Schizosaccharomyces pombe: one gene and its partners. The gene in region 1 interacts genetically with each later gene. Each region holds a gene or a part of one and is shown on either strand. Other genes may lie near its edges.

What was found.
Region 2: mutations in swi6 (region 1) and chl1 together harm fitness more than expected from each alone (negative genetic interaction), as found in Schizosaccharomyces pombe (3 studies listed by BioGRID, with this or other methods).
Region 3: mutations in swi6 (region 1) and pic1 are lethal when combined (synthetic lethality), as found in Schizosaccharomyces pombe (2 studies listed by BioGRID, with this or other methods).
Region 4: mutations in swi6 (region 1) and mad2 together harm fitness more than expected from each alone (negative genetic interaction), as found in Schizosaccharomyces pombe (3 studies listed by BioGRID, with this or other methods).

What each region holds. Positions count from the first base shown.
Region 1 is NC_003424.3:1,701,849-1,705,868, reverse strand, and holds swi6 (heterochromatin (HP1) family chromodomain protein Swi6), read left to right. Parts: upstream 1-1,770; 5' UTR 1,771-1,867; coding exon 1,868-2,854; 3' UTR 2,855-3,463; downstream 3,464-4,020. Other genes in the region: Ino80 complex actin-like protein Arp8, read left to right, coding at 1-888.
Region 2 is NC_003424.3:5,396,770-5,402,967, forward strand, and holds chl1 (ATP-dependent DNA helicase Chl1), read left to right. Parts: upstream 1-1,975; 5' UTR 1,976-2,344; coding exon 2,345-2,983; intron 2,984-3,048; coding exon 3,049-3,241; intron 3,242-3,300; coding exon 3,301-5,003; 3' UTR 5,004-5,334; coding exon of another isoform or gene 5,335-5,341; 3' UTR 5,342-5,393; coding exon of another isoform or gene 5,394-5,464; 3' UTR 5,465-5,641; downstream 5,642-6,198. Other genes in the region: trehalose-phosphate synthase Tps2, read right to left, coding at 1-426; GARP complex subunit Vps51, read right to left, coding at 831-1,310; rpl4101 (60S ribosomal protein L41), read right to left, coding at 5,335-5,341, 5,394-5,464. UniProt on the Schizosaccharomyces pombe protein: ATP-dependent DNA helicase important for chromosome transmission and normal cell cycle progression in G(2)/M.
Region 3 is NC_003423.3:2,767,409-2,773,056, forward strand, and holds pic1 (INCENP-like protein Pic1), read left to right. Parts: upstream 1-1,799; 5' UTR 1,800-1,862; coding exon 1,863-2,020; exon of another isoform or gene 2,021-2,063; coding exon 2,064-4,962; 3' UTR 4,963-5,130; downstream 5,131-5,648. Other genes in the region: PAN complex subunit Ppk26, read right to left, coding at 49-143, 192-282; single-strand DNA-specific 5'-3' exodeoxyribonuclease Exo5, read left to right, coding at 5,476-5,638. UniProt on the Schizosaccharomyces pombe protein: Component of the chromosomal passenger complex (CPC), a complex that acts as a key regulator of mitosis. Has a role in sister chromatid cohesion and condensation.
Region 4 is NC_003423.3:3,292,620-3,295,752, forward strand, and holds mad2 (mitotic spindle checkpoint protein Mad2), read left to right. Parts: upstream 1-1,655; coding exon 1,656-1,725; intron 1,726-1,766; coding exon 1,767-1,913; intron 1,914-1,959; coding exon 1,960-2,354; 3' UTR 2,355-2,576; downstream 2,577-3,133. Other genes in the region: nrl1 (NRDE-2 family protein), read left to right, coding at 1-253, 292-1,202, 1,247-1,413. UniProt on the Schizosaccharomyces pombe protein: Feedback control that prevents cells with incompletely assembled spindles from leaving mitosis. It interacts with the anaphase promoting complex/cyclosome (APC/C) thereby inhibiting APC/C-dependent proteolysis, a step required for exit from mitosis.

The DNA of each region.
Region 1 (4,020 bases):
GATGACATTACGCTTTTATTCATGAAATTACTCATGAGAAGTCATTTCCCGTATCAGGATATTGACTTAAAAACTCCGTATGATTGGTCTTTAGCCAATGCTTTAAAAATAAAATATTGTGGCCTAAGTGAAGCAACCTATAATGTTCAATTGAATAGCTTCTTTTCGCGAACACCTGATAAAGGGACTAGAAAATTTACATTTAAAAGCCTTGACGAAACAATGCTTGCACCTCTTGGATTCTTTCGCCCTGACATTTTTGAAAATGAAAATAAACTTCATGATCGGTATACTTTGTTTCCAGTGCCGGTCGATGTATATGACAACCAACCGAATAATCCCGAATCACTTGCCCAAACCACTTTATTGCAAATATCTACGCCGATATCCAACATCAAAGCTAATGGAAAAGATGATGAAGAGAAAAAAGAAGAAAGTGATTTGGTGACACCTTCGGTAAAATTCAAGCCTCCACGGGTAGTATATTGTGGCTCACTTGCTGCTCCAGAAATAAAGAATGAGAAACTGATATATCCTTTGGATGATGCAATCAACCAGAGTATATTTAGTGCATGTGATGGAAATTTAAGTGATGAGAAGGCAAAAAATCTTTACTCAAGCATTTTGATCGTCGGTGGAGCTGGTCAGTTCCCGGGCTTTGCTCATTTACTGGAAGAGCGTATCCATTCCAAGCGTGCCAACATCCCTACTATTTCGGTAATTCCTCCACCAAGAAGTATGGATGCTCAATTTGTTGCCTGGAAGGGTGCTTGTATATACAATCGCATTCGGATCGTATCGGAGCTGTGGATAAAAAACAGCGATTGGAAAATGTTAGGTAGCCGTGTCTTGCAATACAAGACATTGGGTTATTTTTGGACTGGCTAAACCATATGTTTATGCTTTCATATTCGTTACTAATTTTTTAATGCAACACCATATGTTTTTGCTATTTTTCATTATTTTTAGATGTTAATAAACCATGGTCTACAAAAACAGTACAGATGCCTCTAAGTTCATGTTTTTTGAAATTTTGAAGATACTTCATCAACTACTCATTCTTTTTGATATTTGAGTGCTCAAATAAGTTGAATTTATCATAATTTCCCTAAGTACGTATTTCTTTAAACGTACCATTTTGTATTTAAGTAATCTTTACATTCCAAAAATTGTAGTATCATTGTAAAAAAATTGAAAAAATAAACTCCCAAGGCGAGACTCGAACTCGCAACCTTCTGATTACCATCATAAGAGTCAGACGCTCTAAACCGATTGAGCCACTCGGGACTTCGTTGACGACTTAAGTTATTCAGTGTAATATGTAGTGCAAAAAGAATCCTCATAAGAATATATATTTTGTTGTTTGACGATGATTGCCTACGAAATTTAAAAGGTGGAATTGTTTTCTAGTTAAGATTGTTTATCAATCTTGAGAGACTCAGCATTGCTTTAGAAAACAAATCAGCATGCCAACCGTAACAGCCAAATATCTTGTTACTCGCAGCATTACTTAAAATGTTAATTTTATTTCTAACGGTAATATTTGTTCAATATTTTCGTATTTCGCATTAAGTAAATCACTAGGAAATTGAGATGCTTTTGAAATAATGATTATTACTGATAGTGATCTAAGCAAAATTAGGCGTCGTTAATCAACTTTTAGACAACGATTAATACAGTACTTCTATGCAATATTTTAATAAACGAACTCTATGTGATGCTAGCCATTCTGTACACCATGAAAAGCAAGCCAAACATGTCTCGCTAAACGAGCAAACAACCTGTAAAGACCAACGCGAAATTGATGTTTAGTACTTTTTAAAATATTCTGAAATCTCGTTTATTTTCATATTAAGACAAGTGAAAAATGAAGAAAGGAGGTGTTCGATCTTATCGGCGCTCCTCTACTTCAAAACGATCAGTTATTGACGACGATTCGGAACCAGAGTTACCAAGCATGACAAAGGAGGCTATTGCTTCTCATAAAGCAGACTCTGGGTCGTCGGACAATGAAGTTGAAAGCGATCATGAAAGTAAATCTTCGTCGAAGAAATTGAAAGAAAATGCCAAAGAAGAAGAAGGAGGAGAAGAAGAAGAAGAGGATGAATATGTTGTAGAAAAGGTTTTAAAACACCGTATGGCGAGAAAAGGTGGAGGCTATGAATACCTTTTGAAATGGGAAGGTTATGACGATCCCAGTGATAATACATGGAGTTCAGAAGCCGATTGTAGCGGTTGCAAACAGTTGATAGAAGCATATTGGAATGAACATGGAGGAAGACCAGAACCTTCTAAAAGAAAGAGGACTGCAAGACCTAAAAAGCCCGAAGCAAAGGAGCCTTCACCAAAGTCTCGTAAAACTGATGAAGATAAACACGACAAAGATTCCAATGAAAAGATTGAAGATGTGAATGAGAAAACTATTAAATTCGCCGATAAATCGCAAGAGGAATTTAATGAGAACGGCCCACCTTCTGGTCAGCCGAATGGTCACATTGAATCTGACAATGAGTCTAAATCTCCTTCACAAAAAGAATCGAATGAAAGTGAGGATATTCAAATAGCAGAGACCCCTAGCAATGTTACTCCGAAAAAGAAGCCTAGTCCGGAAGTTCCCAAACTTCCGGACAACAGAGAGCTGACGGTTAAACAAGTAGAAAACTATGATTCTTGGGAAGACTTGGTATCTAGCATCGATACAATTGAACGAAAAGATGATGGAACCTTGGAAATTTATCTGACTTGGAAGAACGGTGCAATATCTCATCATCCTAGTACTATCACCAATAAAAAATGTCCTCAGAAGATGCTTCAATTTTATGAAAGCCACTTAACGTTCCGTGAAAATGAATAATTTTTTTGTGTTCCTTTAAAAAATTCTTTTTCTTTTGTTTATAAATTAGATTTCGCTTTTTTCTGACGTTATTGCTTTTATCAAGTCCCGTGTCGTAGTATGAGTTCTTGTTCTCTTACTCGAAAAATGCATCTAACATTATACTTATACAAATTTTTGTTAGGCGCTTAACATCACATTCTAGTTTATGAACGCCTTTGTTTTCTTTCACATTGAATTGATTACGAGTGACTTGAGAAATGTAAAATACCTTTTGTCGTTATGGTTTGACATTCTAAATAACCTAAGGTTTGACATTCTAGATAACCTAATTTCTTTAATTTTACCATTTATTAATTTAGCATGCACTGCTCTTCATGCATTCAAAATCGTGTCTAATAATAACGTAATTTTACTCGTTAAATAAAGAATTTATGCATGCAAAATCGTTACTCATAAACCTCAGCAGATAAATTTGTTAACAAAAATGAGGGTGCATGAATATCTGCCTTCTCCGTTTCTTCTGTTCCATATGCTTCTAAGTTTGGGTTACCAACTGAACTCAAAGATAGGGTCAAGATGTAGTGTATCAAGTTTGAATCTTTATCAAGTACTATGTTGCCTCTTGAGAAATTCGTTTGAGAATAGCTGTATAGCTAAAGATAAATAAGGGTTTGAATGTAATTGTTGCTATGTAAACACAGTTGTAATTATAGATTTTTAATTGTTGCTGCTTTTGTACATTAGCAAAAAAAAATACAAGCAAGTTATGATGAAGAAGTCTGGTTATGCTATTTTTCTAAGAAGCTGGGATAAATTCATATTTTGTTCCTCTTTTTTTTTTTTTTTAAATATGTTTATGTCAGATTGGCAGATTTACCATATAAACACATAATGGCAAATTATGGCAAACTTTGCAAATGAACATGTATTTATCGAATTTCCTTGTTATCTTTTTTTATTGCTAGCAACACATGAAGACATCAGTCCCCTCTCGGCAATACATATTATCGATTGACACTACTGTATGCTGAGACTGAACAACAGAGTTCTCACTTGGACTTTTTGCTTGCTCCTCAAAGACTTTTAAAAAATTAAATAATAACTATTATATTTCTAACTGTTTTTAATCTAATTATTAGTCACAAGTTGCGCTTTTGTTATATATATGACTTCTATTCAAATTG
Region 2 (6,198 bases), 3.7 Mb from region 1:
CGAGGACTTAGCTTGTGGTACACGTTGAACCTTGCCCCATACAGGGACAATATCAGCTTCTATGTTCTTTTTCCTGTAATACTCAGTAGCCTTCTTTAGAAAAATTTCTTGATCCTCTGGGCTTATGACAATCGACGAAGAACGATGAACAACAGCAGCTTCATCAATCTTAGTTTCCACTGTATGGTCATTTCCTTCCGAAATTTGTACAGGTCCAGGAGAAGCTACGTACACGGCGTCCCAGGGTGAACTAGGATCTCCCAATGAAGCAATTGCTGAGTAAAGGGCAGTGCCACTACTACGATGCTGAAACGTCCATTCGCGAGTATCTTTATTTAAGGCTGCTTTAAATTGAAAATTTCGAGAGACATTAACAATACGTTTATAAGCAGCTGATTGAGTATTTCCTTGCGCGCCTGAAGGCATTTCTAGAGCACTTAACTTCACCGAGGAGAAGTGACGAGAAATATAGAGAATAAAACCAATGAATCACTACAATAAGCTAGCAAAAAACTTTAAATCAATGTCGTTTGCGCTTGTTTAAGCAGATGATTAAACGTATAGAAAGTAGGAGACCGTACTATAAGCTCAATATTACATTGGACAGTGTACCCTAAATGACGGAAAATTCAAATGACCGAGAGAGGTAGTAAGACACCGAATTCACCGATATGAAAATGGAAATTCCCTGCGAATAACGAATATATGATGAATGAACCTTTTTACTAATGAATTATGAATAACTGATAAATGAGATGGTGTTCGTCATTGCCCAAGCTTTTGAAATGATGTGAAGACGCTAACACTGAGATGGTAGAACAAATCTGCGACTATGGCGCTGAAAATTCATTTCCATTAAAAGATTGGGGAGCTGAATACGTATCATTATTTCCATTTTTCCTTGTAGGCTTTGGACATGCCTGATAAGCATCGTTTAATGCAGGTAGAAGTGTATTTAAATTTTTACAAAAAGAGTTAATTGCATCACTAGCTTCTAACAAATGCTTATAATGATTATATACCAAAGATCTATGGTCGACAGAAAGCCCTTGAATCGAAGCAACCAAAGATTTATCACGCTGCAATAATTCGGCTGGTGTGGCTTTCTCCATAAATTTAGAAACGTAAGCATTTGAATCGAAATTTGGATCTGAGAACTCTGGATCAACTTTATCTAATGCTGTTTCTTCCACTGGCGAAACGGTATTAGAGCTAGACGGTTTTCGAGTTGTAGAAACAGTTGAAGATGAGCTATTTGAACCAGGTAGATTATAAAAGTCTCTTAAAGCTTGACGGCGTTTACTTGACATATTGTACAATTTACTTAACGACAGTGCTTAATAAATAATGAAATAAATGTATCTACAAGGCCAGCAACGAACAAAATACTGTTGCCGACAGAAAATGCTCTAGTGATAGAAATGAGTGAATAACGTACTCCTGTACATCTTTATATCATATATCGATGCTTCGAATATTTCTTTAAAACATTCTATTGCTTTGTTTCATATTGATAGTTTGATTAAAAAGTTTCGATACTTTTATTGCTGATCTGGTAGCAAAATCTCAACGCATTTTAAAAATGCATTTTCGCGGTATTGCGATTCTTTGGTAGATGACAAAAACAAGACTAACGATTGCACGCGTTAGAAAATTACATAACCATACTTCAGCTTCTTTTTCCATAGTTATTTCCATTAGTTATGATAATATTCGATAATACAGAGAGCGTCAAGCATATATATATTATTTAACCTTTGAGCGTTTGCTGTTCTTCTAAACTGAATTGTAGGCTTAGTGTTGAAAGAGAATTTAGCACTTTTAACAAAATCTCATTCTTTCTGTTAAACTAGAAATGCATATTTAATTTTCTTAAATTTAGTTTCCTCCCCTTAAAAGTAGTTGAATATTTGATTTAAATTTGCAAATATATTTTAACTTCAGTATACACTGAAACAGTTTTTTAACATACAGTAAACTTGCCTAACCTCGTGCAAAGCGGTTTCTTCTGTTCATTTTAACATTTTGTTGAAAAGTCTTCTTGTTATATAAATAGACAGTTTGACGGATGGAGTTTATGCAACAGTACTTCCTTCTTCAGAAACCAGCTTGCATATGATTTGGTAAATTCAATTAGTATCATCGCTACTCTCTTTTGTTGTACTGAAAAATCTAAGCTCAAACATACGCTTTCCCGTGTTTATAAGGTGTTATTTTATGCTTTATTAACTATTTTACAAGGGAACCTTACATTTGGCTCTGTAATGTGCAATTACTGTTATCAAAACTCGAAATAGTATACGAAAGATTTCCAGGTTTCTGAAAAGGTTGTTTTACCTTTAAAATGTGTCATTCGAAAGAAGTAAAATTTAAAACCAATTTTCATCACCCGTATACCCCATACGATATCCAACTAGAGTTCATGCGCAGTTTGTACTCTTCCATCAGCGATGGAAAGATTGGGATTTTTGAATCACCAACTGGAACGGGAAAAAGTTTGAGTTTAATCTGTGCTTCACTTACTTGGCTAGACGAACATGGAGGTGTTTTACTTGAGGATAATGAAAAATCTAATGACAATAAATCTAACACATCCTCAAAAATTCCAGATTGGGTTCTAGAGCAAGACTTGAAAATACAAAAGGATCTAGTAAAAGAAACACATGCACGGCTTGAACAGCGCCTTGAAGAAATTCGAAAGAGGAACCAAAGTCGCAAAAATCAAATGAGCAATAATTCAACTACATACCACAGGGAAACAAAAAGGAGGAACATAAACGCAGAAGCCTCAACCTCAGACAATTGTAATAATTCTAATACTTCGGTTGATCCGATGGACGAATATCTAGTTACAGCAGAATATACGATGCCATCGACTTCTGAACAATCTGAAGATTTATTTAATAACGGTTACAGTTCCAAAGTCTCTGAACTATTGCGAAAATTAAGTCCCGATAATGAAAAACCACCTATAGTTCAAAAGGTACGAATTTAGGTGCTTATAAGGAATATTCATTTAGTGGTAATATTTTTCTAACCTACTGCTAGATATATTTTACTTCTCGAACCCACTCTCAATTGCAACAGCTTGTTCAGGAAATTAAAAAGCTCAATAATCAAACCTTCTCAACGCCAATACGAGTAGTTTCTTTGGCTTCTCGTAAGAATCTTTGTATTAATAATGAAGTCCGGAAACTTCGACCAACGTCTGCTTTAAATGAAAAATGCATTGAGCTTCAAGGTACTTTAACAACTTCACTAGATTGAAAATTCAGTTTAATATTAACTTTTACATTTTAGGATCAGCTCACAAGTGTCCCTTTTTACAAGACAACACTCAATTATGGGACTTCCGGGATGAAGCACTTGCTGAAATAATGGATATTGAAGAACTCGTAGAATTGGGCCAGCGTTTAAAGGTCTGCCCTTATTACGGAACGAGGGAAGCAGTGGATTCAGCTCAAATTGTGACCCTACCTTATCCTTTATTGCTACAAGAATCAGCACGAAATGCGCTTAATTTGACTCTTAAAGACAATATATGTATAATTGACGAAGCTCATAACTTGATTGATGCAATCTGTTCCATGCATTCTTCTTCCATCTCGTTTAGACAAGTTTGTATTGCTGAAACTCAATTGCAACAATATTTTCTGCGGTTTGAAAAACGTCTGAATGGTAATAATAGAATGCATATAAAGCAATTGATCAAAGTTGTCTATAACCTAAAATCTTTTTTTTTAAATTGTCTAGAAACTAATACGAATTCAAAAGTGATCAATGTCGATTCTTTACTGGTATCAAATGGTGCGGATCAAATTAACTTGCACCATCTGTCTGAATACTTGAATGTTTCAAAACTAGCAAGAAAAGTCGATGGTTATACGAAATATATGCATTCATTGGGGACACAAGAATTGGAGTCTTTGAATGATCTTCGTAGTGAAAGATTTTCAAACGGCAATGGATATGAAGAGGATCCATACACACCGGTCCTAATGCAATTAGAATCTTTCTTACTGAATATCGCCAACCCTGCTCCTGAGGGGAAACTATTTTACGAAAAACAAACGGGGGACAATCCATATTTAAAATATTTGTTACTCGATCCATCCAAACATGTCGAGATATTGACCGAACAATGTCGTTCAGTGAATTTAGCTGGTGGCACCATGTCACCGATTGATGACTTTATAACCCTTTTATTTTCAGATGAACAATCTCGTATACTTCCATTTTCATGTGACCATATAGTTCCTCCTGAAAATATTACAACCATTCTAGTTTCTCAAGGTCCTGCAGGCGTCCCTTTTGAATTTACACATAAAAGAAAAGACGATGAGAATTTATTAAAAGATTTGGGAAGGACTTTTCAGAACTTCATTTCCATTATCCCAGATGGCGTCGTGGTTTTCTTTCCCAGTTTTGCATTTTTGCAGCAAGCTGTAAAAGTATGGGAAATGAATGGAATTACAAATCGTTTAAATGCAAAAAAACCATTATTTATTGAAAGTAAAGATTTTGGCGATAATCCTTTGGATACTTTTGAACACTATAAACAGTCCGTAGATGCAGGCTTGAGTGGAATGTTGTTTAGCGTGATAGGAGGAAGACTTTCAGAAGGAATCAACTTTTCAGATAAACTTGGCCGAGCCGTAATGGTGGTAGGAATGCCGTTCCCTAACTCGCAAGATGTGGAATGGCAAGCCAAGGTCTCATACGTAGAGGAAAAGGCCAAGGAGAAAGGCATAAATGCAAAACAAGCTTCACAGGAATTTTATGAAAATACCTGTATGCGAGCAGTAAATCAAAGTATAGGTCGAGCGATTCGACACCGAGATGATTATGCAAGTATAATTCTTTTGGATTCCAGATATAATCGATCAAGTATACAAAGGAAGTTACCAAACTGGTTAAGCAAAAACATCCATTCTAGCCCTAATTTCGGACCTGCTATACGGCAACTTGCTACTTTTTTCCGGGCTAAAAAGATGTGTGATTAGACATATGGTTTGCGTTACAGCGTCAACATAGGCTTATTTTAGAATTACGCTTCGCATATTGTAAATAGATTACTCTATAATTTTTAGAAAATACACCTCTCTCGTATTTACCGACTACTCAAATCATTACTCGTCAAAGGTATAAAAACAAGATCTATTTTGAACGTCAATTAAGACTGCACTAATGGTGTCGCAAATGAAGGTTGTTTAGGTAGAAAAAAACCAACTTGAGAAAAGTTACGACTTAGAGCAGGAAGAGGCCTCTGCCATGATATCCAAGCGTCACGCTAGGGACCGCTTAATTCAGTCCATCGAGCTGTAGATGATCCGTTTATTTACTAATTCAAAGTTAGAAGTCTGCAGGTCTGAGTAATATAATACAACACTTACGATCTAGCTCTCATCTTTCTTCTTTTACGTTTAAGGCGTCTCACGCGTTTCTTCCTCCACTTATCACGCATTGTGGTTATGGATGACTAGCAGACTAGGCAATATTTCATCTGTATAGCACATTGTGACTGCTCTTTTAAGAACACACAATACGGACGTAACACATTCAAAAGTACAGTCAAGTAACAGAATTACTCTAGTATGTCAAGGAACGAAATGTAAACATACAAAAAGTGGTTAATTACATATTTTATTTCAAATGATCCGTCAACGATAGTAAGTGATTTTTAAGTGCTTCCTTTTGCATATCTTTTTTGAAAGGTTCAGCTCTTCAAAATCAGATTTAATAATAATCCATTTAATGCTATATCATCCATTCATATTATCCTTTAATGACAACATACCTGATGTTGTTGTATACGACTTGCGATCTATTGTCAAACGCTGTGTAAACTTCAAGCATACTACATACTTTAGTTTGTAAACCGTATACAGAACAGGTATATCATAAACATTCTTTAAAGTCTAGTAAGTAGTCTACAGGGAAGGTGAAACGCATTTTTGTGCCATAGAATAGTATAAATTTATTCTTAGACATTGTAATTAGACTGCTATATAAGATACTGAAAGCATCCGGAACAAGTACTGTGTTTTTAAGTCGAACTGTTAAACTCCTTGACAATTTGAGCTACTTTAATCATCTATTAAAAACAAATTTTAAAATGCAACGTTAACCCTTTGGTACTAAAAGATACCATGTAAAAAATGTATAATCCAATAAATTTAAAGGATATGCTAGCAATGT
Region 3 (5,648 bases), on another chromosome or scaffold:
CGTAAGCAAGAAGCTTCTCTGAAGTTAAGAGAATACGCCTATACTTACACCATCATGTCGAAAAGCACATCCATTTTCTGAATGCTTACAGGATCCATAAAGTAAGATATTTCTACATAATGTTCGTTTAGCTTTGGAATGGTCTATTAAAAATGGTGGTCAGTCAAGTTTTGCTTTGAATTTCCATTTACCTTTCAAATCAGTCACTGACGGAGACCTGGAACTCTCCCTAGAACGGGAAGTTGGCTTTGGGCTTGCAGGAGAATTCTTCCTCACACTCATCCTGTCAATTTCCAGGCAATCCCAAGCTAACAGTCTGAGATTATAGCAATTTAGTTACAGGTCGTGGAATCAGTAAGTCCCGGACAATACTAATAATGCAGCACAACGAAGTTTACTGTAATACTTTGCAACGCTACATTTTGTTTATATAACAATTTCATAGTAGTAATATTTAAGCATTTGAGAAGACAGTAATTCTAATTTATTTTTTATCTGTTCTTTACATGTAACGGGCAGTAACTATTTCGAAAACTTTAACAATAGCAAGTGTTATGTAGCAGTTGAACATGTCTTCGTAATGCTGCTATCTTTCTGCGATCACTGTAATTTAATTGCAAATCATAAAACCAAAGTAACTGAATTTTTTTTATCTTAACTTCTTCCTTAGTGCCAACTTTTGCGAATTGTTTCAAATGCAAAGCTATGTTTTTCAAGCAATTCGGCCTCCCATATATAGCCATTGCAAGTAAGAAAACTTAGTTCGCAGTTATAAATTCCCTATAGAAACTAACAGCTTGCCAAATTCACACTCCCCTGTTTTGCTATAAAATGCAATAAAAAATTACTGAAAGGGGTGGGACTCGAACCCACGAGCTTTCGCACTAGTGCCTTAAACTAGCTCCATAACCACTCGGACACCCTTCCTTTTTTGATCTGTCAGACAAAAAAGTATATATTATTTATTTAATTAATTAAAGAAATTTTAGGAATTCAGAAAAATATTTAAATTGCTAAAAAGAATAATAACAGACTGTCAATTATAAAAGCATATTTATTACCCTATTCTCTTTACATTGTCCTCTAAAACAGAGTAAGGAATGAAAAGTCTAATTGAGTTAAAATAGCTCAAAATGAAAAGAGAACGGTGAATTTTGTATTGAATAAGCTTTTAATTTTTTGAGAATGGTTACCCATGTTTTAATACATTCTTGAAAACTTAAAGACAAGTGTATGATATTTGGCATTTATCTCTGTCTGATTGGAAAAATTATTTTTAAAAGCTATGGCAAGTATGTGAACAAAAAATGGAGAAAATGCGTGAATATTGTAGATCGAATCATTAAAAAAATCCAATAAATGACAAGCGTATAAAGCATGACAAATTGCTTGTAGCCGTTCAATAGAAACTTTTATGTCTGTGCCGCTTGCTATATACTAAACATAAACAAATGGTGAAAGATATTTGAACACAAACTAGTTAACTCTGTCTGCTGATCAAACGAACGATAGGTTGCATGCATTGGGTTGCTTATTCCACTCAATAATTACTGCAATAAAATCAGCATCGGCATCTCGAAAAAATGTATGGCTTAAAGTGTTACTTCGTTAAAAACCTCTTCGTCGTTAACCGATGTCTATATTCCTAACAATTGTTTATAACATCGGAACTTGATATTTACATTTAAATCTTGAAAACAATAAACCTTTTGATCATTTGTAAATTGGGAAAGCATAATTGTTTATAAATTTAGTTGGAAGCTTAGGTATACAACTACTGTTGTATATTGTTGACATTTGATTGCTTCCACCACCGACCACTCTCCAGCAACTAGCTCATTCTTTATATGTAACCAAACAGGATGGGCTCTAATGGGTCAGAACTATGGTTTAATAAGGAGTTGGAATACTCCCAACAACTCACTAATGGAAAAATGAAAGAATTCTTCTTCCTTGTATCTGAAACCATGGACTGGTTGAATGAACACATGCTTGAAGTTTCCAAGTTACAGCTAGAGTCGTACGCATTTGTTGTTTATCATATGTGCTAATTAGATGGTTAGGGATATATATGAATTAGTGAGAACACCTACCAAGATAAAGGAGAAGTACTCCACTCCTCGTTTAAGTCCTGTACATCGATGTGCGTTACCAACGCCTCGCATGCGGTTAACATCTATTCAACATCAGCTTGAGGAAGCTGCTGTTGAAGGATATAAGTCGGGTGAATCCAATACAGTCAAGGAACCTAAAGAATTACATACTGCTACTAATACAGAAACCCAATTTGATGATGATAGGGATTCTACTAAGCTATCTTCTGAATATGTCAAAGATGATATAGTTAATAAATCTACTAAAGGTGGTGTATCTCCTATTAAAGAAACGAGATTGCCGACTAATTTGCCAGCTTTTAGTCCTACTTCAGTAGAGCGTCGTTTTACTGAATGGAACGTTCCTCTTCGTGAAACTTCGCCTTCCCCATCAGAAACTGCTGACAGTCCTAATAAATTACCAAAGCAAAAGCACCCCGCTTATTCTTTTGTCACTTTACCTAAACGTGAAGAGATTTTGAAAAGACCTGCATCATTACACAGTCGTGTGGAATCAACTAATTCATTTATAAATCAGTTAAATCGCCGGCGTACTAAAGACAACTTAACGAATAATCCTGAAATTTCATTAGATGAACCTATCAAGGCACTACCTTCAACTACTTCTGATGCTCCTTCTTCTTTGTTAAATACCAATGTGTCCTCTAGTCCTTCTAAATTTCGAAAATTCCTTTCATCAGTCATCCCCGCCAAGACAGATTTATCAGCCAAGGAATCGCTCACGTCGTCTACTAGGTTATCGACTTCTTACAAAACTCGTAAAAGAAGTTCAGGAGTCGCCTTCTCTTCTGAAACTGTTACTTCTTCTTCCAAGGAAAGAAAAAGGTCTGTCGAAAATGAAATGCTTAAACCTCATCCAACTATTTTTGAATCCCCTCCCGAAATTACTTCCTTCGATAAATCCAACGCAGTAGAAGCTGAGGCATTAACGGCCAAATTAAAATCCAATGAAGAGAGACTACCTGTATCTTCTCAACCTGGAAGTGATGCCAAAAGTCAAGAGTTTGACTTTTTTGAAGCCAAAATTCCCGATTCTATTGCTAAATTGAACGAGCTAACTGCCTCCAATGAAAACCACTATGAACTGAAAACTTATGATCGTGCCGAACGATTAAGGCAGAAAATACAAGAAGTAAGTTCTAATAAAAGATTAATTCCTTCGACTCCGCCCACGAAGAAACCGATTAATGCAGTTTTAGATGCTGCTAAAAACTCTGCAGCTAAGGATTTGCACCTTGCTAAAATGAAGCTGAATAATAAAAACGACGAGTCTTCCTTAAGCCCTGCAAAAAGTCATGCTGTAATCACTCAAGCGCCTAAGATCCCCCTGATAAGCACATTCACAAGGCTTTCAACCAGAAAGTCGTCAAATGATTTTAATTCTTCAAATTCTAGACCAAGCTCAAACGCTTTGAAATCGGATGCAAACGAAAATACGGACTCTTCTTTGCCGCCTTCCAAGAAGGAATTTATTGAAAAATCTCTGCACAAGTTATCTGAACCATTGCATGATGATTCTCGTCAAAATTCTGATCACAACTTTGCTCCGCATTCACGTCCGATTGCAATTCGTGTGGCCACAGCCTCTCAACGCGAACTTGAGCAAACTGAAAAGCGAAAAGCAAAAAATGGAGCAGCAAATGCTTCAAATATGGAAAGCCGCTCTTCTGAAAACGAAACTCATCGCTTCAAAAAGTTCTATGGTAAAGAACGAGAGTTATCAAACAACGAATTTCCAAGTCGTCAGACCAAAACTGTCACATCAGCCAATTCATCTAACATTAGGGATATGGAACATACTATTTCCGATAAACCTCGTTCTGAACCAGATGCTATACCATCAAGTAAAAGCATGCACTCAAATAAGCCATTTGAGGAAAAATCAGAAAAACCAACGACCAAAAGACTTGTTACTAACCCATCAAATGTGAATGCTTCATGGCATTCAAATATGTTAAAAAGACAAGAAGATTTACGAAAGAAGAAACCGTTAACCGACAACGGTGCAACTTCAAGGCATATGCTAAAATCTGGGTTAACACGCGTCACGTCGAAACCCACTCAAAGGTTTGCGAATGAGCTAGCTGAGGACATGTCATTGGCATTTCATTCAACTATTCCAAAAAAAATGGAGCCTGACTCAGTTACTTCTGTAACTCAGCCTTCTGTTGGTAGTTTGAGAAACAACTTCGATATAGGGACCACTAATAGTCAGAATGAAGATCGAAAAAAGAAGATAGCTGCACAAAAAAATAAGAATCCCGTACATGGTAATGTCGGTCTTACGAATCAACATGGATTCAAAACAATGCATCACAACGTCAACCCTTTTACTAAGCAGAATGGTATTATGAAAGGAAAGCTTCCATCTTCTAGTACTTCACAATCAAATAAACCTTTTATTGAAAAAGCTTCTATGCACGCTCCAGCTAAAGGTAGGAACTCGTCTATGCAGGAGCCCTCTTCTAAATCACCGTTACTGAAAACGCCTAAGTCGAATTATTTTCCTGGATATGGATCCCTATCGCCTAACACGTCTGTGGAATTACCAGAAATAAATAGCGATTATTCGGATGATTCAGATGATGAAGGTAATAAGAAAAAGGTAAATTTACCATCGTGGGCTGAATCACCTGAGTTACGAGAGCAATTAAAACGACAACAAAAGTGGGATCCAGACAAAATTTTCGGTATGATTAAACCTCTGCAAATGGATGAGTATTTCCGATCGAAGGATCGATCGAAGATTCGATTTCGACCAAGAAGCTCTTCTGCTGACTGGTCATCTCAAGATCGTTTGACCCAAGCAGAAATTGATAACTATAAGAAAAACATGGGTTTTTTATAGAGTTCTGGATTTTTGAAATGAATTTTGTATATTAAAGAACTGGGAAATTAATAGAGAAATACTTTAATTTATCTTATGAAACAATTTGCATAGAGTTAGATGACAAAATTAAATTAGATTAAAGGTTTTTGAATCTACTAATAACAATTATAATGAAATAGACCTCCATCTTAGACATTGAAGCATCGCTGATAATTAGTTTTTGTGCCGCAATAACATTAGCCATTAACAAACGTAGTTTGACATTGCCAGAAACTTAATCTACTTGTTCAAAGTTTTAATTTCTTTGAACGAAAAGAAACTGTGAAAGTACTTCTATCATCAATAGTTTAGCACAGTTTACATTGCTAGTTTTGGTTACACTAGACATTTACGTTCCACCATTTTAATAAAACTAGTGTAAAGCTTTTTTACCGTCTGGTTGGTTACTTTAAAAAAAAGAATTATTCTATTAAATGTGTGAACTAACGTAACCCGCACCTGAATAAATCATCCTAACGAAACATTAAGTCTATGGAAGAATATGAAGATTTTGAGATGGAAGATTTGAGCGAATTAGTCTCTTATATGGACTATCTTGAAACACAAAGATTGACTATTAGCCAATTGGATTATTCTTTGAGCATTCCACCACAATTGCTCGTAAGCAGGGAAATTTCTAAACTAGAGGACGAAGGTACGATATA
Region 4 (3,133 bases), on another chromosome or scaffold:
AGAAAAACAGCTTTCAATTTCCCTGTAGTATACTACCTTCATACATTGATCTCTTCATTTCTCTTATGTCGTTTAAAAATTTAAATTTCAAGTTATTTGATTACAACCTTGCACATCATGTGAAGGAATCAATGGAGCGTGCTTTTCATCAACTAGTATTTTCGGCGGACGATGAGTATTTAGCGAGCGTTTATTTAATTTATTTAAAGCAAATGGAGACGAAGAACCTAAGTGAGGAGAAACCCCAAGTGAAGTAAGTAGATGTTTTTGTTTCCTTCTAACCAAATTCAGTAAAATTGTAAAGAAGATTCTCAAAAAATACGATAGTTCAGTGTCTGTTTGGAACACTTACGCTCAATTGGAACACTTAAGTGGTGCTTTTACTATGGCTGAAACAATTTTTAAAACAATTTTTCAGATCCATGCTTCCCAATTGCGCTACATTGATAATTTAAATGTATACAAAAACTGGGCTTTTAGAAAGCTACTTATTAATGATACTGAAGGATGCTTAGTTATTATAAAATGCCTGTTGTTTCCTGGTGATAAATCTTTAACTAGCGATAATAATCGAGCATCCGAAATGCTATTTGGTATGTTGGAAAATTGCGCCAGCAAGGAAGAATTGCTGTATGTTTGTCTTATCTATACTATATGGACACACTGTACTGATATGGATTCAATGGATAATTGTGTGTATTTATGCATTCAAAAATTCGAAAGCTATGGATGGGGGGCTTCTTCAGAAATGGAATGCTATTTTTCTTATTGTTCATTGATTTTTTATTATCAAGCTACCACTCTTCAATTCTATAATCTACCCAAGGTTCGACCTTTTTTTGAAAAGGGAGTTACACTTTTCAGTGCAAATACGGCTATATGGGAAGTTTATATATTTTTTGAATCTAAGTTGAGACAAGAGAACAAACCAAAAATTAGGGCTATGAAAATTTTAAAATCTGCTTCAAATGCTGTTGTTACAGCTTGTTGGTACCTTTTTTATGTTGCCGTTCAACAGATTGAGCCAACAAACTCACAGTACTTTTTAAGGACTTTGGATATCACTCTAAATAATGAAAAGTTGAAATCCGTCGCCAAGTTTTGGAGAATATATTTAAAGATTCTCAATTTGCGATTAAATGGTACTGAATGGGTTTCGGCGATTACCACCAAAGCATTGGCTTCCTGCCCCTGTAATAAAGGTAAGTTAATTAAAAACATAGAACATTTCACTGACTAAGTTTAGGGGTTTGTATGGACGTTATAGACTTGCTCTTGAAAAAAGAGATGGAGAGTCGGGCTATTATTTGCTATATAATCATGTTGGAAAAAGGCTTTAGAGTCCATAACGAAATAAGGAGAGATGTTTTAAAGTTTGAAAGAGGAGATGAACTTATTTTGTCCCCAAACTGACATTATTACGATCAATGACTTTTAATGATAGAGATAGTGAAATGAGTTTAAAATGACAGATTAGTTACTTTCAAGTTTGCGTAAATGCTTTAGTAGTCTTATTATTAAAGTTTTCACTTTTGTTTGTTAAATGCTTATATGGTTGCTTTTACGTTGAAAGGGTACCTCTAAGCAACCATCATGGCAGTACCTACTCAATTACTACACAACCTATTGCTTATTACAAAAATCTACAACACAACATGTCTAGCGTTCCCATAAGAACGAATTTTTCACTGAAAGGTTCTTCCAAACTTGTTAGCGAATTTTTTGGTTTGTAAATGTTTCAAATATGCCATGCTAACTTAATGAAGAATATGCGGTGAACTCAATCCTTTTTCAACGAGGAATTTACCCAGCAGAAGACTTCAAAGTTGTTCGGAAATATGGATTAAATATGCTTGTCAGTGTAGATGAAGAGGTCAAGACTTACATTCGAAAAATTGTATCTCAGTTACACAGTGAGTTGTTGTTCTATTATCACTTTTGGAATTAACAAATTTTTAGAATGGATGTTTGCAAAAAAAATTCAAAAACTGATTTTGGTAATTACTAGTAAATGTTCAGGTGAAGATTTAGAGCGGTGGCAGTTTAATGTGGAGATGGTTGACACAGCTGATCAATTTCAGAACATTGGCAACAAAGAAGATGAACTGCGAGTACAAAAAGAAATTCAAGCTCTAATTCGTCAAATCACTGCTACAGTGACCTTTTTGCCTCAACTAGAAGAACAGTGTACGTTTAACGTTTTGGTATACGCTGATAAAGACAGCGAAGTTCCAACAGATTGGGTAGACAGTGACCCTAGGATTTTAAGAGATGCTGAACAAGTTCAATTACGAAGTTTTAGTACGAGTATGCACAAAATTGATTGTCAAGTTGCATATCGAGTGAATCCTTAGTTGTTTTTTTTGGCATGATCCTTACCTATTAGATGAGATAATAGAAAACAAAGCTTTGATGTGTTCTATAAATCTCAAAATTCCGGCCATATTGTTTAACTATAATTCGGTGAATCCTATGTTTGTTTTAATGTCCAATATTTATAATTTTGTGACGCATCTCTATTCTATCCATTTATTTAATAATACTTTTGCATTCTTTAAAATATAATCATCTTCTCTTATTCATTAAACAAAATACACTATAGCAACAGCTCGCAATGATGTTTTCATTGAAACTTTGCGGCAGTAAATCAACATTTTAAACTGATGGTAGCATTTGCGAGGTAAGATTCTATATGCCAAGGTAACGACATTCATCTCTTGAGGTAGGTTTCTGACTACAAAATGAACACAGTAGCAAATAATTTAACAGAATTGAACAATGTGTATATCATTTTAAATATCAAAGTTAGAAATTCTAATTTAGTCAAGACGTGTTCCTCAATTTTTTTAAGACTGTTGAGAAGCTGGAATATTATTGTTAACGGAGTTTTCCGTATTTAATAACATTATCACTAATAAACATTAACTCGCGTTATCTATTAATAACGATTCAGTATGTATGACATCTATTCATCAGTTACTTAGCCTTTACTAGTACTGAGTGTGAATCATCGTTTCCTCAGAGAATACCAAGACTTGGACGGTTCCTCTTTTCTCTTTGCTTCTTGAATTTTGGGGCTATCTAGTTTTTTTTTGAAATTTCTTAAAGATTTATTCTTAAAAGCTTGAGGATT